Linked DNA regions of Pelodiscus sinensis. The protein of the gene in region 3 purifies or fractionates together with the protein of the main gene of each other region. This does not show direct contact. Links are inferred from orthologs where the notes say so. Each region holds a gene or a part of one and is shown on either strand. Other genes may lie near its edges.

Region 1 (8,220 bases), on a different chromosome or scaffold from region 3:
ACAGTAACAATAAATGAAAAAGTTTATTTTATTTCTCATATTCATCAGATTTCCTGATGTGCCCAAGGACACAAGTCCCACTGAAACTTCTAAGGAATCATGAAAAGCTTGAAGATTCCACAAGCAATTTTGAAAGTCCCCCCTTCCCCCAAAAAAACTTTTTGAAGATTTACACTATCCGCTTCTATACTTGAACTAAAAAGCCTCGTTCTTCAATTGTTTTTAATCCCTAAAAGTAAGTCATTTACTCTATTAGGAACATTAAAATGTATTCTCCTTTAATGTATCTCCACTGAGCCTTACATGCACCATGCAGTTACAGAGAAACCCTTCTTCCAATCCATTAAGAAACCTCCTTTTACGATACATTCATGTTTGACAGACAGCTTCAAATTTTACTGTTAGAACATTTCAGAAATAAAATCTATATAAGGCTCCTATCTACATTTGCAATGACAATGTGCCCATTTGAAATATCTATTAAGCATTGATGTTTTTAGCTGCCTACCACACACATTAAGGTTCCCCGGGCAATCTTAAAATTCAGTCTCCCTATGCATATGCATTATCATGCAGTCTTTAATTATGATTTTAAACATATTTTCCCAGAGGTGCTCCTAACTATGAAGTGGGGTCAGGGAATGTGTGTGGAGGAGCGTGGTTAGGGCAGGATGCTTGTCCCACTCTTCTCTGCAAGGCACTGCCAAGCACCCTGCCTCCACCACACTCCTCCGCAGATATTACCCCGATCCTTCTTCCCAGTAAGCACCAGGCAGGACAAAGCAGGACAAGTACCCATATAGAGTCCTTTTTCTGAACAGTTGCAAAAAAGCAAACATGCTTCTGGGATGCATTAATAGGAGTATTGTGAGCACGACACAAGAAGTCATTCTTCTGCTCTACTCTGCCCTGATTAGGCCTCAGTTGGAGTACTGTGTCCAGTTCTGGGCACCACATTTCAAGAAAGATGTGGAGAAACTGAAAAAGGTCCAGAGAAAGAGCAACGAGAATGATTAAAAGTCTAGAAAACATGAGCTATGAGGGAAGACTGAAAGAACTGGGCTTGTTTATTTTAGAAAAGAGAAGACTGAGAGGGGACATGGTAACAGTTTTCAAGTACAGGCAGTCCCCGGGTTACATGGATCCGACTTACATCAGATCCCTACTTACAAACGGGGTGAGGCAACCCCGCACTAGCTGTTCCCCCCAGCAGACCAGGGAGACGCAGAGCGGCTTTTCTCAGCAGACACCTCAGCTTGAGAATAAAGGACTGAGGGAAGTGAGGTGTGGGAGAATAAAACGGAGCTCTGGAGAAATGTTTGGCTAGAGTTTCCCCTACAATATGTACCAGTTCTGACTTACATACAAATTCAACTTAAGAACAAACCTACAGTCCCTATCTTGTACGTAACCCGGGGACTGCCTGTATCTAAAGCGATGTTACAAGGAGGGGGAGAAAAATTGTTCTCCTTGGCCTCTGATGACAGGATAAGAAACAATGGGCTGAAATTGCAGCAAGGGCGGTTTAGGTTGGACATTAGGAAAAACTTAACTGTCAGGGTGGTTAAACACTGGAATAAATTGCCTAGGGAGGTTGTGGAATCTCCATCACCAGAGATATTTAAGAGCAGGTTGGACAGACGTCTATCAGGGATAATCTAGACAGTGTTTGGTCCTCCCGTGAGGACAGGCAACTGGATTTGATGACCTCTCAAAGTCCCTTCCAGTTCTAGTATTCTATGATTTACACATCTGCTCCAATAGCCACAAAAATTAATTGGAAGCAAATACCTATGGATTTCTGCAGAAATTGCAGTACTCTATTCTTGAAAAGTGTTCTTAGTATCCATTAACTAGAAAGTGGAAATTAAAACACTGTTTGCTCAGTTATTTCCCTAATTAAATTTTTCATGAAGTATCTGTGTTTTAACTAGAAATGTGTGTAATTGACAAGTCTAACTGATAAGACTAAGCTTATCGGTTAATCTTATAGTCAACTACACTTTGACATGCCTAGTATTGGGGGAAAGGGAGGGGTGCGTATTTTACACACACAAACAATTTGAAATCAAAACATAAATACAAGGAACAACTTTACAGCAGAAATGTAACCTCTAAAATGTAAGACAGACAGCTGATTTAGCACAAAGTGGAAAAGAATAGAGAAATAAATGGAAGATGAAAAATTTGTCCCTGAGGATACACGGCCAAGCCACTACTCACCAGCCACTGAAAACAAGGTTTCTCAGTGGCTCACACAGAACAAACAGAACCTCAACAAATTACCATCTTCCAATTAGTAAAGTTTAAATAATATCCAACTTTTGTGCTTTGATGTCTACTTATGCCATCCTCTGTAAAACACACGAAGTATGTTATGTTCTCCCCATTCAGTATACGGGGCAGATCTGCCAACCAAGACCTGCCATAGCTTTAATAGGAAATAACTTCATTTTGCATCATACACTGTTTACTTGATAGAGGGCCTGGTTTCCCTAAGTGCAACCCGTACTGACTCTTTTGGCGCTGTTAGCTAACCTCTTCTGAAGAGCAGGCTCAAAGTAAATTGCACAACGAATACTTCTACCCGACAGCCTTCTGTACTTTTGCTAAAAAGCAAAAACCTCACCAATATTGGTTAACGGTATAAAAAGCAAAGGGGCAGCGGCAACGCCGGCTTGAAGCGCTTTCCATCATACAGCGCACACAGCGGTGTTCAAGGGCTCCCCGCACCCCGGGACTGCAGCAGCCCGCGTGCAGGAGCGAGGTGCCAAACGGGAGCGGGCCGCCTCCCCCCTGGCTGAGCGACACACGCCAGGTGTTTGGTACGTGCCCGGGATGCTCCTTAAGGTGTCAGGAGCCGCTGCCTGCCAGGGTGGCCCCAGCAGCCTTAGTAGCCGGGAGAGAAGAAGGCCCCTCGCTCGCTCGGGATGACGGGGGGTCTCGCGCGTGGAAGGTGCCCCCAACGGTAGCCCGACCCCTCGTCGCTGGGGGACAAGGAGACCGCGCCGTGCGCCCGCCCTCCCGCGCCTTGCAGGGCTCAACGTGGCCACCCCGCCCCCACCTGGGTCACTCCCACCCAGCTGAGCGGCGGGGGGGCGGGGGGGGCAGACTGACCTGCACCTCGGTCTCCGGCGGCCACTCGGTGTTGATGAGCAGGTCGTAGAGGATGTTTTCCTCCTCGTCCCCGCTAGCGACCCCCGCCGCCGCCTCCCAGCTCCCAGCGGCAGCAGCCATGAGACACCAGCTACGGCGCCCGGCTGCGGACAAACCTCTCACTCACTCCTCCTGGCGGGGAGGAGGGAAAGAGATGTTTAACCCTTTCCGCTCTGCTGCTGTCTGCATAGGGCAAGTGGAGGCCACGGCCACACCAAAAAAAACTGAAAAAAACAACGAGTGGTCCAGTAGCACCATATTTTTTGTTAGAAACGAATACAACTATATATAGTATCATGAGCTCATGATACTATAATATATCAGGGGTCTGCAACCTATGGCTCTAGAACAAATTTGGAACCAAAGATGGCCCTTTTGTCAATCCCAAAATACACATTTTTTTAAGTTAAAATGAAACATTTAAAATTTTAAAAACGTGTAATTACTCATGTCAAGATGATTTGTTTTGTCTATTTCACCTTTAAGTGTTCACTTTAACCACACTCTGCACCCTCCCTTGCTCTTGCTTCCTTCCCCCCGGCCGGACACCCTACACCCAGCCTGCTTCTGCACACTACCTCCCACCCACACCTTGCACCCTCACCCCTTCCTGTTCCCCAGATCCTGCACCCCCATCCCTATCTCACTCACTAGCAGCCCATCCAGCACACTGAAACTCTCATTTTTCTCCCCACCCCCAGAGTCCTGAGGTGTCTCAGGTGGGAGCCACATCACTGACGGTTGGCGTAGTTCTTCTGTTTCTCACTTGTGTGTTCCCCAGCTGATTTTTCTATTGGTCAGTGGCCCCCCAACCCAAAAAAGGTTCCCTGCCCATTCCATTGTGGAAGAAAACATTGTCCTCGCTCTGAGTTTGTAAGCAACAAGTAGCCAGAGGCAGTTTTATTACAAGCTGCAGCAAGGGAAAAACTGGTTCGGACGGGGGGGGGGGAAGTCCCCCCAAGGCAGATCTTCAGATACAAGCAATTATGAAGAGTTTATATACTGTCCATTATATATAATAACAACAACAATTAGTCTCCTTCCCATTACAGACACCAATGGCTAACAGTTATTTAGTTCCACCCAGATGCTCCTTATCTCAAGGTCCCTGCTAGAGTCAGCATTCTATCCTTATCTCCGTATGGAGGCAAGAGGCAAAGGCAGTGTCTAAGTACAGATCTCGCGTTGTCAGGCCACAGACTTAGCCTGACTCTTGCTCTCTTGTTAACAAGACCAAGATGGCTGCACACAAATTCCCGTATTCCCTTTTCCTGCCTCCACACCATAAATAAAGAAAACATTGAAACCTTTTGTTTGCGACATAAATTAATACTTTATTTAAAATGAAGTTTGATAAACTAACAGGAGAAAGTTCAAACACTTAATTTGTTTAATAATTTAAATTAAACCATTCTCCTTAGCTGCAGGACTTGCAAAATGGCTCAGGCATAATTATGTCATTAACTCTGAATTTCCATTGCAGCTGGTGGTCTACAGAAAGGTCTTCATTGAGGCGGATGGTCCATAGACCAAAAAGTTTGAGAACCACTGTATTACAGGATCAGCACCCTAGAATGCACAATCATCGAGACAAATAGTGTTAATTTAGGAGAAACACAAAGAAAATAATAAACTACATAGTATTTTTTTTAAATGTGTGTATAGTATTTTTTGTAATGTAGACTTCTTACAACAAAAAGAAGATCACACTTTACTGCTAACCTTTTCTATTTTTAGTATTTTAATAATCTCTTTTTAAATTTGCAGTCAGCTATGTGGTCTAGTTTTAGATACTGACAAAAGTGTGGAATTACAAGGCCTAGCACTCTATGCCATAGACGGTTTAAATTAAACATTACAGAAATAGTGCCATTTGAGAAGAAATTTCTACTGAGTTCTGATTGTTTCTTTAGATTAATATTTTTAATTTATTTATGTTTTTCAAGGTAAAAGGGTGACAACAGCAGTGCATCTGTCCAATGTTCACAATTTATAAGAACAATATGAGGTTCACAGTACATTTTTCCTTTAGCGTTACAGATCTGGCAACAAGTGCTTCAACAGCTTCACATGGGCACCTCAACTTTTTTTAAAATAATTGCATTAGTATAATATTTTATGACTCCATTGAAATGTAAAACATGAAGATGATGGATTAGATAGAAATGAGTTAAGGACTGTAAAGTACAAAGAGGAGCCAGAAAATAAACATCATTTAAACAAACTATATTAAAATTGATCTCATCTGAATATAATGCAAAGGTGTATAGCAGAGATGAAACTGATACCCACTAAAATATGGCCTTTGGTCTTTGGTTACTAATGAAAGACAGCTAACAAAAACGATCCAAAACACCACTGGTGACAAACGAAATCTGGTATTAAAGTACTAGAATATTTATTGCAATATTCCTAATACTTACCTTCTCATATACACCAGAATAAGTCAGTAACAATGAATATGCTCTAAATGGTAACACACTTGGACAGAAGGTGCTGAACTCAATTCTCATGACAGGAATTAGTTTAGCCATTATTCATGCCACTGTGCAATAGTACATATTGCATTGTTATAGAAGCTGTCCTTTGGATGAAATCTACACCAAGGTGCTTTCTTCTTCTCTCTGGGGAAGTCTCAATGGAATTTTAAAAGTTCTGTGTATCATTTTGACAACAGGAAGGAATCACCATGATGCTCTACTCTCATGCTTTCTCTTTGATAAACTAGTTTATAATTGGCCAAATTCACAAATAATGTGAAATGGTGAAGTTACACTTGTTTAGTTCCCAGTTTGAGGTTAATCCTATATTTACAGTTCCAGATCCAGAGGTTTTCACTCAATAGAGGTTCTTGTCAATAGGAGTTTGTTTCAACAGAAACAGAGCAGAAACTGAGCAGTAAAAGTTGAGTAAGGACTTCAGGAATAGATTATTAAAAATAAGTTAGAACTGATTATTATTCCGTATGTGTAAGTAAAGATACTTTCAAACAAACATACTCTTCTAGAAGATTAAATAACTATGAAACCAGGCTATACCAATCTACTTGTTTAGAGGTGACAACAACTGTATAATTTAAAGATAAAATATTCAAAGTAAACAGATAGTTTGGGCTTAGGTTCAAGTCAAGAGTTCAGTTTCAGCTTTGGATTAAATGAGCAGTGTTACTAATTTTCTAAGGGTGTGTCTAGACAACAGCGCTATTTCAAGACATCCGTGTAAACATAATTCCACGACAATTTTGTAATAGCACTCTATTTCAAAATTAACTCAAAATAAGCTATGGAATTTACATAGCTCAAATTGAGTAGCTTATTTTGAGCTAAGGGTGCAGTATACATGCACCCTAAATTGTACTGTAATTCTCATTCTATTTGGTATTTGGTATTTTTGTTAAAGTTGCAGCAAGATCCTAGCTCTGTCCAAGAGAGTTGATGACTTGGAAGTCTAGAGTGAGTAGCCTTCTTGGAGCAGAGAGTGCAGTCCCTTGAACCTGTGACAAAAATAACCCAAAAGCAGCGAAAAGTCCTGTAGCACCTTATAGACTAATACAAATGTTGGAGCATAAGCTTTCGTGGGCGAAGACCCATTTTGTCAGATGCTTTAGCCCACGAAAGCTTATGCTCCAACACTTCTGTTAGTCTATAAGGTGCCACAGGACTCCTCACCACTTTTGCAGATTCAGACTAACGCGGCTACCCCTCTGATACAAAAAAACCCCAGATTTTCAAGTGAATATTTTCAGATTTGGAAGCCTGACTCTTCAGTCTTGAGAAAACAACAAATAGTCCTTGAACACTTGGTGCGGACAACACTGAGTCTGAATGAGGATTCAGAACTTGGGTTCAGTTTGGCTCATGGTCTCAGGTTTACTAGCTGGGTTACAATTCACAACATGATCTTGATCTGGTCAGTCTCTGTGTGGTTTCAAATTAGGTACACTGAATGGGTTAGGGATGTTAAGGACTAGCAAATGCGTATCGGATAGTCTCTCGACTAGTCAACTAGTCGATTCCCCACCACCACCACCACCTCCCTGCTACCTCTATGAGATAGAGGCAGAAAAGAGGGGGAGTACTTCAAAGCAGCAGTGCCACACAACTGAGCCGGGAATCAGCTATGCGGCACTGCCGCTTTGAAACCCCAATGCGGTGTTTCAAAGGGGAAGCCGCTGCACAGCTGATCTGCAGCTCAGTTGTGCAGCACTGCCCCTTTAAAACACCACTTCCATGGAGCCCGGAGTCAGCTAACACCAGGTTCTGAGCGGCATTTCCCCAGAAGCCAGGGTCTGGGGAAATGCCGTTCGGAACTCGGGATCAGCTGGGGAGCTGGCCTCGGATTCCAGGGAAATGCTGCATCGAACCTGGAGTCAGCTGGGGAGTTCCCAGCTGACCCTAGGCTCCCACTAGGGGGGACTCTTGTGCATTTCAAAGCAAGCCACCCGCACGCAGTCTTGAGTCAGTAGCTGTATGCACTGGCCTCAGGCTGTATGGGGAGTTCCGCATTCCTCCTTTGAAATATACAAGAGCCCCAGTGGACATTTAAAAGGAGAAATGCGGAAGTGCCTATCGACTAGTTGAGTAGTCGATGGAAATACCATCGACTATTCAACTAGTCAATTAACCACATTTTAACATCCCTAGTATGGGTCAGTCTGGGATAATCAGAGTTAGTTCTGGGCTAGTCAGGCTAAGTGTTCATAGTTAGTTTGGGCTGGTCAGGGGTAAAGATGTTAAATTGTAGTTAACTGATTAATCAACTAGTCGATAGGCACTTCCGCATTCCGCCTTTGAAACGTCCGCTGGGGCTCTTGTACATTTCAAAGGAGGAATGCAGAACTCCGTATACAGCCCAGGGCCAGCAGGGAGTCCTGATGATTCTGGGCTGCAAGTGTCGTGCTTGCTTTGAGATGTACAAGAGTCCCTAGCATGGGCTCTTGTGCATTTCAAAGCCATGCATGCCATGAAGAGCCTGGGGTCAGCTGGGGACTCCTCAGCTGATCCCAGGTTCCACTGAAATACCGTGTGGAGCCCAGGATCAGCTGAGGAGTCTGCAGCTGACTCT
Region 2 (7,570 bases), on a different chromosome or scaffold from region 3:
ATAGTCCGGCTCTGCCCCAGGCGTCCCTGATTCAGCCGCTGCTGGTCAGTTTCAGCAGCGGCTGAATTGGGGAAGTCCGGTAGCGCCGACCCTTGGCACGGCGAGACCAACCCGGCAGCACCCCAGCTGCTCTTGGGGACGCCTGGGGCAGAGCAGCTGGGGTGCTGCTGGGTTGGGTTCCGCAGCGCTGCTCCTCGGCGCTACTGGACCAACCTGGAAGCACCCCAGCTGCTCTGTCCCAGGTGTCCCCAAGTCAGCCACTGCTGAAACTGATCGGGGCTGACTCCAGGAAGCCCGGGGCAGAGCAGCTCTGCCTCGGGCTTCCTGGAGTCAGCTGCTGGTCAGTTTCAGCAGCGTCTGAATCGGGGACAGCTGGGTCGTTGCTGGGTTGGGTTCCGCAGCCCCGAGGGGCAGTGCTATGGGACCAACCCGGCAGTGCCCCAGCTGCTCTGCCCCCGGCTTCCCCGATTCAGCCGCTGGTCAGTTTTAGCAGCAGCTGAATTGGGGAACCTGGGGGCAGAGCAGCTCCAATGGTCCGGCTGCCCGGAGCACTTCCGGGTTCCTGATGGTGCCGGACCATCAGGAGTACCGGACCATCAGATGCCGGACCATCAGAGTTTTACTGTATATCACATCCACCGCTTCTCCCTTATCCACAAGACTCGTTATCCTATTAAAGAAAGCTATCAGATTGGTTTCACATGATTTGTTCTTTACAAATCCATGCTGGCTGTTCGCTATCACCTTGCCACTTGCCAAGTGTTTACAGATGATTTCCTTAATTACTTGCTCCATTATCTTCCCTGGCACAGAAGTTAAACTAACCGGTCTGTAGTTTCCTGGGTTATTCTTATTTCCCTTTTTATAGATGGGCACTATATTTGCCCTTTTCCAGTCCTCTGGAATCTCTCCTGTCTCCCATTATTTTCCAAAGATGATAGAGGAGGTATCTGAGCCTCTAGATATCAGCTCCTTTAGTATTCTAGGATGCATTTCATCAGGCCCTGGTGACTTGCAAGCATCTAACTTTTCTAGGTGATTTTTAACTTGTTCTTTTTTTATTTTACCTTCTAAAACTACCCCCTTCCCACTAGCATTCACTATGTTAAGTGTTCCTTCAGACTTCTCAGTGAAGACCTAAACAAAGAAGTCATTGAGCATCTCTGCCATATCCAAGTTTCCTGTTAAATATTATATATAATATATTATATTGTTATACCACAAGCTACAAGATAACAGTGGTATGACTTACAGCATAAACCAGAGGTTCCTAGATGCTATTTTTATATGTCCCTTTGCTTCCATAGAACAGTAACATATCTCATTGGGCAAACTGAGGACTGACATGCAAGGTGTATATGTGTATTAATGATACAGGATGCACACATTTCAGAATATTCTTCCTTACACTGGGGCACAGAATTGCCTGTCAGGGATGGCAAGATGGTTTTTGGAGAGCAGGATTGCCCTAACTCCAATCCTTTATCTCCTCATATAAAAGCAGGTAGTCTGGCAATCACAACAGGGTTCTTATATAAGATCCATGTATGTGGCATAAGAGTGACCTCCAGCGGCCAGAGTCAAGATGATTAAACAAAGATTCTTTAAATCCTATTCACAACAGTCAAGTTCACAGTAAATCAGACTATTCTGAGGCCAACATTCAATAAGTTTATGGAAGTGCAAGTGAAACACTACAGTCAAATAATGATCTAACAAAGAAATCTGGGACACTGAGCGGGTGAGGTAATATCTTTTATTGGACCAGTTTCTGGTGGTGACACACACAAGAGAGGAAGCATCTCAAACTTGAAGAAAAGCTCTGTGTAATCACAAAAGTTTGTCTCACCAACAGAAGCTGATCCAATAAAAGATACCACCTCATAGGGATGTAGCAACTAGTCGCTTTCCCCCCTGCAGCCTCTATGGGAGGGTGGGGGGAAGGGAGAGCAGGAGCTGGGGGGAGGTGGCTTGAAAGCCAGGCAGAGGTGTAGTGGGGGACCAGGCGATCAGGGAATCAGCTGATTCCTGGCTTGTGCCCATTCCCTCCCTACTGCTGTGCTTGTGTTTTTTAAATATATTAAGGCCGCCAGGAAATTCCATTAGTTGATTAAACACAGTTTAATATCCCTACTACCTCCTCCACTTGTTTCACTAATATCCTGGGATAACAGTATTAGAACACTGCATATGTTAAAAAAAAAATCTTCCTCACATTTGACAACTCTCCCTGAATAAAACTTGAGAAATCTTGAAGAGAAAATGAGACCTGGTTTTAAAATTCTGCTTCAATATCAGGTTCAACGATCCCTATATTAGATCCACCTCAGTAAAGCTAAACAGTATCTGCCAGTCAGAAAGACTGAGCTCTAGCCAAGGAAACCAAATATAGGAGCCTACCCACAACTCTGGACAGTTCAGTCACAGGAGATACTATAAACAGGACTATGTAGCACTGTAAAGACTAACAAGATGGTTTATTAGATGATGAGCTTTCGTGGGCCAGACCCACTTCCTCAGATCAAATAGTGGAAGAAAATTGTCACAACCATAGATACCAAAGGATACAATTAAAAAAAATGAACAAATATGAAAAGGACAAATCACATTTCATAACAGAAGAGGGTTGGTATCTATGGCTGTGACACTATTTGATCTGAGGAAGTGGGTCTGGCCCACGAAAGCTCATCACCTAATAAACCATCTTGTTAGTCTTTAAAGTGCTGCATTGTCCTGCGTTTTGTTTCAGCTGCACCAGACTCACACGCTGCGTTTCTATCACTATTCTAGGAGACACTGGCAGGGAACAGACCCTCTCCCAGGAAAGTATCCAGAGACCGGACACTCCAGGGATTTCTCTCCAGCAGCCGAGCTGACTGAGCGGGGGCCTCTGCTCTTCCCACAGGAGCGCGGGAGGGTGACCAGGGCCCTGCGGGAACCCGCCTGGTCTCCGCGACACGTTCTGAGGCAAGTCCCGAGCCGCGCGGGGCGCTCACGGGGACGCGCAGCGCGAGCCAAGCGGGTCCCGCTCCGCATCCCTGGCAACGCCGGCGCCTCCAGCGGAGCCCAGCCCCGCCCCGGGCCAGAGATCGGGCGGGGGACGCGGGGCCGATCCCGGCACCTTCTCCAGCCGCCACTCGTCCGGCTCCCGCCTATCGGCCGCCAGCGCCTCGCAGCGGCTCAGCAGCCGCCGCAGGTTCAGCTCCAGCCGAGGGGCCGCCATCGCTCCGACCCGGAAGCGGAACCCGCCCGCCGCGCGAACACTTCCGAGTCCCGCCCACGTGGCAGGGCGGGGCGCTTCCGCCCACCAGGCACGCTGCGGAGGGGCGGGGCCAGAGGCTGCTGGAGCCCGCGGCGGCACGTGGGGGAAGGGGAGGAGCCTCTGCAGCTTCCCCGCCCCCAGGAGCCTGCACGTGGCGTTACAGGGCCCACAGGCGGCAGCGCGGGGACATTACAGGCCAGGGGGCAGAGGAACGATGCAGGAAAAGACTCTAGTAGCCCCCCCCCCCCCCACTATTTGCCCATGAGGAGGCTGAGAGGGGAAGCCCCGGAGGCTGCAACTTGAAAAAAAGCGAGTAGACTTATAGCACCTTAGAGACTAACAAAAAGAGCAGAGTCGTGTCTGTAACAAAAACCAGGACTTGTAGCACTTTGAAGACTAAGAAGATGTTACATACCAAAGTGCTATATAGTCCTGTTTTTTGTTTCAGCTACACCAGACTAACAGGGCTACATTTCTATCACTAGTCAGTCTGTAGAGATTCTATATATAGATATATAGAGAGAGAGAGAGACACTCATGAACTTTCATAGGGAATCAGATGAGTAAAAAGTGGAAAATAATTGTGTGTCATTCCCCCCCCCCCCACTCCCGTCCCCCTTCTCATCTGAGAAAGTGAATTTTGCCACAAAAGCTCATAAGCAATACATATAGAGGTTCCTTAGTCTCTAAGATGCTACAGGAGTCCTCAGTTTTTAAAGTTACAGACTAACCCGGCTAGCCCCGCTTGAGACTTCAAATATATATAGGATCTAGGGATGCAATAGTAGAATCAATTAACTGAGTAGCAAAAGCTTATCTGTTAACGCTATCGACTACACACATTGCCACCGCAGTAAATTTTTTGGTAGGCTCTGCCCAGACTTGCACCAGATCCAGGCCCTAAGCCTGCTATGGCTTTGCCTTTAAAGTTTATTAGGAGCCAAGCAAGCAGGCAGCCTGGCTCAGTTCTGGCTTGCGCCATGTCTGGGAGTTCAGAACCTACCCGAACAGGGGCTGCTGCCACCCTGCGCTGCTGCCTCTGTATCAGAGGCAGCAGCATGGGGCGACAGGCAGACGGTCTGCAAGGGGAACTGGTTTTTAAACTGGCTCTCCTCAAGCACCAGCTCGTGCCTGACACCCCATGCTGCTGCCTCTGATACAGAAACAGCAGCATGGAGTGGCAGGGGTCTCCTCAAAAGTGGGGCTGGATTGCACTGGTTGCCAACCCCACCCCCAGAGACTATAGAATAGTTGAGTAACCAATAAGCATTCATGAGGTTAATTGACTATTCAATTAACTAATATTTAACATCCCTATTATGATCATGAACTTTTTGTGGGAAAAACCCACTTTATCAGATGAGTTGGAATGGAAATGTCACTTGCCAGCACATTAACCAGGCCTTGATCTCATAATTTAGCTCACGTTACAGAGGTTTAACAATAAAATTAGTTTACATTTGAGCTACAACCACTGTTTCATTTAACTATATCACTGACCTTTTCAGAGGCAGGCTGTTCGTGGTGACAAAACAGCTACATAATTCCCCTAACTTCAGATTAAATTTCTCCAAATTCCTTTTGAAAACATCTCTTCACTACAACCTTCAAATGACAGTCCTCCTCCGAGAATTACTTGGCATACGTGGAAGGTAGACCTTTCGCTGGCTGTTGATCCATTGGACTGTGCCTTGGCTTGCGTTGTCTGACCACTTTAGTTTATGACCACCTTGGGCTAGGATCATTGATGCCTAGCTGTACAGTAATGAACACACTGATGTATTAGCCAATAAGTTCAGCAAGACATGCTGGATTTATTCTGTGCCCTGATACTACCCCACAGGAAGTGAGCAATAACAAGTTGAAGTTAGTCCAGCTACTAAAAGGCATTGTAATTTTCACACACATTTTGGCTATATTAAAAAGTCTCTCAAGGCATATGGAAGAGTCTCACTAGCTGTTTCAAATTGTGCTTGGGGTTGCCTGACAATGTACAGAAAAAGAGTATTCATTATCACAGGACTAATCCTGTTCTAATCTCAGGCAGGAGGCAATTTTTTAAATTAAGCTAATTAATTTTGTGTCATATGCTAAGAAAAAAAAACAAATATTTTGTCCATGATGCCCTACCTACCTGATGGCAGCATTCTGCATCTAATTGGAAAGTTTGTGAAATCCAGTGCTTGAATTTTCCAGTTCACCTCCAACCAGCAAACTAAAGTGTTTACAAAAGTGCCTTTTTATGTCAATGTGTGGTCTCCACTGACTCAGCAACTGTTCTAACTACAAGGTGGTACATTTGTTCCTTCACCACTCATTGCAACCGCAGCATTTTTAATTATAATTAAGCAGCAGGAGTGGCTGACTCAATTGTCAAAACTGTTTGCACAGAAAATAGGGGTTTCCGTTTATTTTTTGTAAAAAATAGCTGCAATCTGCAGAAAAAAATACATGGGAATTGTGCATCCATTCTTCTCTCTGGAGCAGGCTCTCCTGCTAAACTACTTCTCCCATGTAGCACTACAGCTGGGACTGCTGTAATGCATGACTTTTCCCACCAAGATACTTTGGTATATCATGGGAAATGGTACACCTTTAGGAGCATGGCACAGAGGCATCCAAACTAAAATTCCCATGAGGCACCATAACATTTCCAAATCAAAATGTATCTTATTTAAAGTACAAATTCAAAGTTTTCCATGGAAAAAGCCATATCTTCCTACCAGCTCTAACACACCTTTGTGTGACAAGTCTCAGGGATAGCCCTGTTAGTCTATATCTGTAAAAACAACAAGGAGAACGTAGCACCTCAAAGGCTAGCAGATGTATTTGGGCATAATCTTTCATGGGTAAAAACCCACTTTGTCAGAACCATGGGAGACCAAGTGGTTGGTTTTTTTTATACCAACAAAAGCTTATTCCCAAATACATTTGTTAATCTTTAAGGTGCCACAGGACTCCTTGTTTTTACACATGTATGCATTGTTTGATACTTGGCAATGAGAAGACTGGAAGGGATTCTTGATTGGAGCCAGTAAGTGAACATAAGAATGGCCATATTGGGTCAGACCATATTGGGCCATTGGTGGATCTAATCTCCATGAATTTATCTAGTTCTTTTTTGAATCCTGTTAAAGGCCTGGTCTTCACAACATCCTCTGGCAAGGAGTTCCACAAGTTGACTGTGCGCTGCGTGAAGAAAAACTTCCCTTTGTTTATTTTAAACCTGCTACTTATTCATTTCATTTGGTGACCCCTAGTTTTTGTGTTATGGGAACAAGTACATAATTTTTCCTTTTTAACTTTTTAACACACCAGTCATGATTTTATAGATCTCTATCATACCCCCTTAGTCGCCTCTTTTCTAAGCTGAAAAGTCCATCTTTTTAATCTTTCTTCATTTGGAACCCGTTCCAAATCCCTCATCATTTTTGTTGCCTTTTTCTGAACCTTTTCCAATATATCTTTTTTGAGATGAGGTGACCACATCTGTACGCAGTGTTCAAATGGAGTTCTTCGTATCAGCGGAAAGCCTGCTGCCCCGTCTATGCTCCCAGTTCACACTGGTAGAGGAGAGCTGGGGGTTGACTCACATGGCCCAAGTTTTAGAAGCTGTTTGTGCTTGCATGTGCTCATGCTTGATGACTTTTGCAGCACTGTGATGCACAACAGATGCTGAACAAAGCCTTGCACAAAGTTGCCCAACTGTGACAACTGCATTTACTGAGCAATGTGATTATACTTGTATGCAAAGCACTGAACTCTCAGAAAACCAACGCCTTTGGTGATTGGTATTTACCCTGCAGAACTCTTTCCAAATCCTTTTAAGGAAGTGTTGGGAAAAGGCATGAATCTCAAGAAAGCCGATCCACTTTTGGTCAGAATTAAGTGTCTTCTTTCTACTCAAGAGCACTCGAGAAGGGCGGACATTGTAGCAATAGGACATTGATAACACGTGTTTTTAAAAAGTGCAATGTATTAATAAACATTTGGATATGTTTTTGGTCTCAGTTAAGACAAGTACATTAACAGTTTTGTAAACAAAAAGAACTTTTCATAAAACATAAAAAAATGGAATATGGAAAAACCTAGTGACTAACTCAGTCAGGCCTATTACAGCCCATCGTAAGCAAATACAAGGCAGCACAGCAGGAGAAACTGGGGTTTTTTTGCAGACTCAAGTCCCAGTATTTTGCTTCGTGACCGAAACTGTTTTAGAGCCTACTCCACCCTCCAAAGTTGCTTTTGTTTACAAAAAGCAGGATATTCCTTGTTTTTAAGCAACTCTGCTTCACCCTTAGAGTGCTG
Region 3 (7,887 bases):
ATCAGCTTACGCCAGGGCTGAGCTCCCCACTGCCGGCCTGGGCAGTGCGCCCAGCCTCTGGCTCTGCTGTCATTGGCCAGAGCTCCACTTCTGACCCTGGCTGCCCCCACTCCCAGCCGAGCTCTCTGGTCCAGCAATATCCATAATTCTGCCTGACCACATTTGTTGCTGGACTAGAGAATACCAGATTTTAGAGTTTCAGCCTGTATTATGTTTTTCTCAACTAGAGAGGGTAGCTAATTCAGTAAATTAGCAGCTAATTTGATATTGCTGATACCCTTGGTTTGAATCTAGGTAGTTTAGAATGACTCTGAAAGGCCCCCAAAGGACCCCCAAAGAGTGTATTCATTTACATGGATAACCGATAAGCATGAGCATATTGGTTACCCAAACAATTACACACCAGCTCCCAGTGTGACTCCCAGAGAGTCGATTGCTGCCCCATGCTGCTGCCTCTGATACAGAGGCAGCAGCAGAGGTTGGCAGGTGGAATTGGTACACACAGGGAACCAGCTTAAAAGCCAGCTCCCAACACACACTGGCTCCAGGGAGGCTGACTGCCATCCCGTGCTGCTGCCTCTAAATCAGTACAAGTAGCGAGCCGGCTTAAAATCTGGGTCCCAGCGCACACCAGCTCACGTTGCTGCCTCTGTATCAAAGGTGGCAACCACTTTCCTGGGAGCAGGCCAGCAGGTGGGAGCCGGTACATGCCAGGAACTGACTCTGTATGAGAGTATGCAGTGCAGGGTGGTAGCCTGTTCCCCAGGAGTGGGGCTGGCAGCAGGAAGCACACTGGCTGCCGGCCCCATTCCCAGGGAGCCAGCATATAACTCCTAAAAGTTTTAGAGGCTACACAGTTACAATAACAACTGTTTTTTAACATCCCTAGTCCCCAGTAACCAGACAACAATCAACCCTCTCTCATACGCCAAAGAATAGAGAGCAGTGAGAATCAACAAATTAGACTCAAAGGTCAACTTATTGCTGCTTTTCAGCAGACTATTGGCAACAATGGAAGTGATAAGAATCATGTCAGTTTCCTTCTGCTGATTTTAGAGAAAGCTACAAGTGTCAGTCCATTTAAAAGGTTACCGTTGTACATTTCATTTCTGCAGAACTTGTCAGCTTAGATGCCATCAATTATCAGAGAAAGTATATTTGCAAGACACATACTTGTGGAATGAGACTACTATTTTTAATTATCTTACACAATACATAAGCAATTCGAAATACTCAATATTATAGCTAATAAATGTCTCCAAGACATTAGTACTGTAGTGTCACCCTGGTATAACCTTAATTCTACCTAACACACGGGAATGCAGACTTCCATGTCTCTGGAAAACCCAATTAAATCCTATTACAAGCACCATTAATAGTCTTGCTTTTGCCAATCAGCAGCTCATTTTTGTAGTGAGACACATGTTGTACCTCACCTGTATTCTGAGACGTAAATATTGAAACTTTTCTTTTACTTTGGCATTCAGTTCTGTAAGCACATTTAAGGGTCCTTGACAATCCCTGATATCCTAAAAGAAATAACATACACCACAAGCATGCTTGAGTAAGAGCTGTAGATTGGTAATGCAATTGAATATGTTTATTATTTATTTAATTAGTTTTTGAGAAGGCGCAGGGTATTTCTGCTGAATGAGATACAGGAAGAAACAGGACTTTTTCACTTGTGAGGAATTTGAATGTTTGCAGTGTGATTAAAGATTAACATGGGGTCTCACGTTCAGATTTTATATAAACATGGTGGCTGTCTCTAGACTGGCAAGTTTTTCCGCAAAAGCAACTGCTTTTCTGGAAAAACTTGCCAGCTGTCTACATTGGCCGCTTGAATTTCCGCAAGAACACTGACGATCTCATGTAAGAAATCAGTGCTTCTTGCGGAAATACTATGCTGCTCCCGTTCAGGCAAAAGTCCTTTTGCGCAAAAGGGCCAGTGTAGACAGCTGAGATTTGTTTTCCGCAAAAAAGCCCCGATCGCGAAAATGGCGATCGGGGCTTTTTTGCGCAAAAGCGCATCTAGATTGGCACGGACACTTTTCCGCAAAAAGTGCTTTTGCGGAAAAGCTTCCGTGCCAATCTAGACGCTCTTTTCCGCAAATGCTTTTGACAGAAAACTTTTCCGTTAAAAGCATTTGCGGAAAATCATGCCAGTCTAGACGTAGCCTATCAGTATTATGTTATAAAAGTGGAAAAAACCATAACACAGAGCCCATTACACTAGGCAGACTTCATTGCATTGTGACTCCCTTTTGACAACAAAAATTATTACATGTGGCTGGGAGGGCGAAGCGGATGAAAAATGAGCCCACCCAACTTCTGCCACCCTGGATGGGAGGAGAAGGCTAAAAAAGACCCAGGACTTCAGTCCTAGGCAAGGGGCCTGTAACCTAAGCCTCACCATAAAGGGCTGAAGCTGTTGGGCTTTGGATTAGGCCCCAGGCTGCAGAACTTGGGTTTTGGCCCAAAGCCCCACCACACCTAACATCCACCCTGGCAACCCCATTACAATGAGGTCACAAAGCAGTTTGAAAAAACCGCTGCACTGCACAGAAACTCAGCCAGTGGCGTTGTACTGCTGTATTAGCCTTTTAGTGGGGCAGGGCTGGTCAAGTTTGTGAAAATTAGTTAGCCAAGCACCAGAGAATTAAACTCAGATTTTTACTGCCCTTCCACGTAAGCACCTGCCCGCTCCTAACTGCCGACTCTGCAGCGCCGGGAAGGGACGTGGCCGGGGCGGAGAGGTGCACAGAGACACGGGTCCCCGAGCGGGCCCCAGGTGTGGGGGAGAAGAGTCTGGACTGGGAAGAGGCGCAAACACCGCCCCGAATGAGCCCAGCTGCCCACGAGCGATCCCCGCCTACCGGAAAGGGGGCAGAAGGCCGGGCGGGGGGGAAAGCCTCCAGAGATGACCCCCGAGCGGAGCAGGCGGGCAGGGCCCTGGGCCCGGGTGACCCACACACGGGAGGGGGAGAGGCCGCTACCCCTCCTCAGGGAGGTGCCGCGGGGGCGCCGGAAAGGGGCCCGGCGCGTGCGGACAACGCTACCTGCACCGCCGCTTTAATCTCCAAGTCAAATTTGACAATTTCCTGGTTACAGACCCGGACGGGCACGTCCCCGACCGCCGCCATCTTGCGAACTACGGGAAGCGAGAGGGACCAAAATCAATACACCATCCCCCCCCCCCCCCCCGCTCCCGCCGAAGGCGGCAGTCGCGCCACCTAGTGGCCGCGTCCTGTAGGCACAGGGAATGGGAATACTGGGCCTCCCTCCCTGGTTCGAGGGATGCACTTGCCTAGGGCCACACACTGCCCCAGCGAGCAGGCTTGGGCCGGGCTGCCTGTGTACTATACTGAGTAGCAGTGTTTGCAACCCAGCTCCAAATAAACTCAGGGGCTGGTGCCACTTTCCAAAATCGTGATATTACCACTTGCAGGCCTATCCTGAGTGTCACCCTCCCTCCCCAGCTGCAGGGGTTGCCTTCAAAACAGGCAAATGTGTAAAGAATCTGTAAGAAATGTAGGTTCTGATTCTGTTCGGCGTCAGGCTTTTCTCCACAGCCCCGAGCATTTAAACCATATTTGTTTTTAACAGTCACTGGAGATATTTAAGAGCAGGTTGGATAGACATCAATCAGGGATGAGCTAAAGGGGAGGGGAGGAAGGGGCTTTTTTGTGTTGGGCCGCACGTAACTGAGAAGCAAAAATAAAAAAACAAACCCTCACTGACATGGCCCCTGGCTGAGAAAGACACCCTGTCTATGGCCTGCAGTCCCCTGTCCAGGGGCTCAAAGAGGAGCACAAGGAGAGGGGGTGCTGACCTGGAGCAGAAGGCAGCTGCCTGGGACCAGCTGCAACACCAGCATGAGGCCATGTGCTCCTCCCTCACCACAGTGATGGAGCACATGGCCTCATGCATGGAGCAGGCCACTAGCCATCTTGCTGCCCCGTCCACCCAGGAGCCACGAGTGCCCCAGAACACATGGTGGTGGGACCTCTCAGGCAGCGGAAGCCTCCCGACCACCTGGGGGAAGGTACCAGTCCCATCCCTGAGGCCCCTTTTGCTTCTCCCCTGTTCAGGAGTGGCCCAAGGCCAGCTGCAGCAGCTGGCACCCCAGCGGGCAGCGCAACTGGCGCCTCCCCCCCCTGCACGGCCGTCAATGGCTGTGACGTCATCATTGGGTGCCCGGGCCAGCGGCGCTCTAGGCAACTGCCTAGTTCGCCTAGGCTCACGGGCCACCTCTGCCCGTTTCAGATTCTTTCCCTAGTACCTCCCCTGTTGTATATTCCCCCCTGCCCTCCCCGAACAGTCCTGTTTCACAAAAGAAGGCTTTTTTATTTGCTCTGCAAGGGAGGGGGAGGAAGGTGGGAAAGGAGGGCAGGGGAAGGGAGGAGTGGGGAAGGAAAGGCACACAGAGGTAATGCAAGGGCACCTTCTGGAGAGGCACGGGGGAAAGTCTCACAGCTGGCCTTGTACAAAACTCTCCTGATGAGCACAGCCCCTTGACGTGCTCTCTGTATGGTGCTGGTGTCTAGCTGCTTGTATGCCCCAGCCAGACATTCAGCCTCTGCCCCCCCCCACCCTGGCAATAAGTCTCCCCGCTGCTCTCACACAGGTGGCGGAGCACACAGCAGGCCAGCAGCACGAAGGGGATGTTGTCCTTGCTGAGGCCCAGATGGGTGAGGTGACTCCTGAACTTCCCCTTTAACTGGCCAAATGCACATTCCAGCTCCATGCCACACCTGCTCAGCCTGGTGTTGAAGTGCATCTTGGTGTGGGAGTATCCAGGCTGCTCATCTAAAGTTTCATGGAGCAAAGGGTAGGCTGCGTCGCCCAGGATGCAAATGGACATGTCTCTCATGGTGTGGTCAGGGAAAAAAGTGCCAGCGTGCATCTTTTGGAATAGGCAGAAGCTCCAGAAGATGCAGGCATCATGCACCTTTCTCGACCAGCCAACGACCTCAGTGAATAATACTTTATGATCCACGAGGGCCTTCAGCACCATGGTTGATGTAGTCTGAGGCCTGGTGGTCAGGGGCCAGGATGGGGCTGAGAGTGCTGTCTATGGCCCCCTGCAGTTGGGGAAGCCCATGGCGGCAAAGTTGTCCACAATGCTGTCCACATTCCCCAGAGTAACGAGCCTCTGTAGCAGCATGTGGTTGACAGCCCGGGCTACCTGCAGGAGCAGGGTCCTGACTGTAGATTTCACCATGCCAAACTGGTTCCCAGTGTAGCAGCAGCTGTCCGGCGTGGCGATCTGTCACAGGGTGATGTCAATACACTTCTACACAGGGATGGCAGGTCTCAGTTGGGTGTTCTGTCACTTGAGGGAAGGGGCGAGCCACTCGCAGAGCTCCAGGAAGGTGGTCTTCTACATGCTTAAGTTCTGGAGCCACTGCTGGTTGTCTGATAGCTACAGGACAATGCAGTCTCACCAGTCCAAACTGGTCTCCCGCCACCAGAAGTGGCGCTCCACGATGTCCAGGGGATTGAGGGGCATGCACAGCAGCAGGAGCACCAGGACCTGGGTTATCAAGGACTGTGGTCCAGCTGGTCATTGTCCTGCTGGAGCAGCATGCGGTCAGTTTGTAAGTACCATGCCATGAGGTGCAGCATGAGGCTCGTGAGCCTGGCACTGCTTTGCAGCCACTCCGGCTCCATGCTGTGAGTGCTGTGGCATCCGCAAGGGCAACCAGAGCACACTGCATCCATTTTGTGTGCCACGAGGGGGAAGGCAGTGGAGGAGTGGTGTGTGAGATGCGGCCATAGAGAGGAGCCCCTCAAAACATGCATTGCAGCTTGCTGGACCAAGCAGCCCCTGGAAGTGTCTGCGCTCCTGGTGCCCTCCCCAGAGTGCTTCCAAGGACTCCAAGTCCAAGGCAGGCGCCAATCAGTGTGGACACACTATTTTGAAATAATTCTGACTGATTTCAATGCTCCCCCATAGTGGGAACATGCTATTTCAGTTTTGTTAACTAAATTAGAAATAATTCCCAATTTATTTCCAGGCATGGCCCCACCCACCCTCCACCCCCAGAATGCCTGCGGTAGGTGTTCTGGGGACAGAGTGTTGCTGCTCCAGGGCTGGGGATGCCAGGCCAGGCCCCATGGCGCGCCCTCCTCTCTCTCCCAGTATTCCACAGCTGGGCAAGCCAGGTGGTGCAGCACACCCTACCTACCTCTTCCCTTCCCCGGTGCTCAAGAGGTTGGGCTGGGGCAGGCCATGCAGTGCAGTGCGGTGTACCTTCCACCAGGGCTGGGGAGGCTGTGGCAAGCGTGTGCCCCCTCACCGGCTGTTAATGGTAATTTCAAAATAATTTCCTAGTGTAGATATGTCTTTACTGAAAGTATCAATTCAGAGAGAATTGCTTAGAGACAAGGCTACTTACGGCCCAAGACGGGGCTTCCACAATAAGGCACACTAAACCAGGCGCCAAGAGCACTTCAGTTTACCACACTGGCTAACAAGAAGTCATACAAACAATTCCCTCACACACTCCATTTCTCTTGTGCTTGTGCCACCTCCGGTAACACCCCTTGTACAGCTGCGATGTTATGAAAACCAATCTCTTCCAATTCCACAGGACTAGCCACATCCCCAAACCAATTTGTAACTGCGAATCTTACACAAACTGCATGCCATCACCAACTCTTTCCTTAGACTTTAAAGGAGAGTTAAAAATCTAACAATTTTAGATTTAGGTTTCTTTGATTTACCCTTCCTTTTTATAAAAAAAAGTGCAATTGTGGGATGTGAAGTTCTTGGTTCATGCTTGTAACAGTAATGGAATAAACTGCTGGCTTAAGTGAAGTCTTTGGAGTACATCCACTTGTTAGGATGGGCCATTCAGTCCTTTAGTCCTCCAGAGGTGAGAGACAGGATTGAATATAAAATGAAGTCCCTATGGTATTCTATATTCTTGGCCACGAGGAGGGACTCCCATTGTTCTTGCTGTGGAAAAGTACAGCTACAAGATAGTGTTTGTCATGTGAGCAAGTCACCTGTCCATGCATGACTCAGTTCTTTACAGGTAGAAGCCATTGCTTCCAGGCTAGTCTGAACGCTCACAGTAAAGCTCAGCAGATGTGGACTGGCACCTCCTAAGATAGATTGTCAGTCAAGTACTTCTACATAACTTGAATAGCTGAGACACTGGCCAAGCCTCCAGCTGGTGTCTCCCAGAAGCACACATTTGAAATACAAGTACATAGCCAATACACAGAGACAATACACATAAGTTCAAATATAAAAATGATACATACATATGAATGGCATAAACATAAGCAGTGAATTGTAAACTTCTCACAGACACCTCACTTGTCCCACTTTGTGGCAGCCACTGTTCTGGTTGCATTCGATTTTGTACAATGATTTGTTTGGCCAGATCATAAGTCAGTAATATCACATACTCTGCTCCATGTATTGGCTGATAATAAGCACTGCAATCGCTCTCCACTTCCTGCTGCCCCAGGTGCCCTTAGGTAGCATAGCCGCTCCCTGCCCTGTGCAGACCTATTGACCCTGTGGCAGTATAATGGCTCCAAATCTGCTGTCCACTACTACTAGCGGCTTTAATGCAGGAGCTATCCCAGCCTGCACCTTCTACTGCCCCAAGTTTCCAAAAGGTCACTCTCTGCTGCCCTTAATAATTGTTTTGTAGGATTAGACCAACAAAGCCTAATCAAGGAGCATGATGTTTTGCAGGATTTTGTTTTGCAAATACAGCAGAAATCTGTATTAACTTTTCTGTGGTTTTAATGGTAAAATAATCACTGTTTTTTGGACACGAAGTAAACGTGTATTTATACCTCAAGTATCCTGCAACTGTCTCAACACTATAGCTTACCATGGTTTTGCTTCAGTGTTTTGGCCCA

The links. Proteins that work in one complex are often made in the same cells at the same time.
Region 1: the proteins of BNIP1 (region 3) and NBAS purify together in Homo sapiens (co-immunoprecipitation; 3 studies listed by BioGRID and IntAct, with this or other methods). This does not show direct contact. The link is inferred for Pelodiscus sinensis from reciprocal best matches to the Homo sapiens genes BNIP1 and NBAS.
Region 2: the proteins of BNIP1 (region 3) and USE1 purify together in Homo sapiens (co-immunoprecipitation; 4 studies listed by BioGRID and IntAct, counting the BioPlex papers as one, with this or other methods). This does not show direct contact. The link is inferred for Pelodiscus sinensis from reciprocal best matches to the Homo sapiens genes BNIP1 and USE1.

What each region holds. Positions count from the first base shown.
Region 1 is NC_134713.1:22,929,484-22,937,703, reverse strand, and holds the start of NBAS (NBAS subunit of NRZ tethering complex), read right to left. Parts: upstream 3,279-8,220; 5' UTR 3,238-3,278; coding exon 3,118-3,237; intron 1-3,117. UniProt on the Homo sapiens protein: Involved in Golgi-to-endoplasmic reticulum (ER) retrograde transport; the function is proposed to depend on its association in the NRZ complex which is believed to play a role in SNARE assembly at the ER. Required for normal embryonic development.
Region 2 is NC_134729.1:20,832,206-20,839,775, forward strand, and holds the start of USE1 (vesicle transport protein USE1), read right to left. Parts: upstream 3,279-7,570; 5' UTR 3,224-3,278; coding exon 3,122-3,223; intron 3,087-3,121; exon of another isoform or gene 2,791-3,086; intron 1-2,790.
Region 3 is NC_134727.1:18,397,261-18,405,147, reverse strand, and holds the start of BNIP1 (vesicle transport protein SEC20), read right to left. Parts: upstream 3,206-7,887; 5' UTR 3,144-3,205; coding exon 3,060-3,143; intron 1,530-3,059; coding exon 1,437-1,529; intron 1-1,436. UniProt on the Homo sapiens protein: As part of a SNARE complex may be involved in endoplasmic reticulum membranes fusion and be required for the maintenance of endoplasmic reticulum organization. Also plays a role in apoptosis.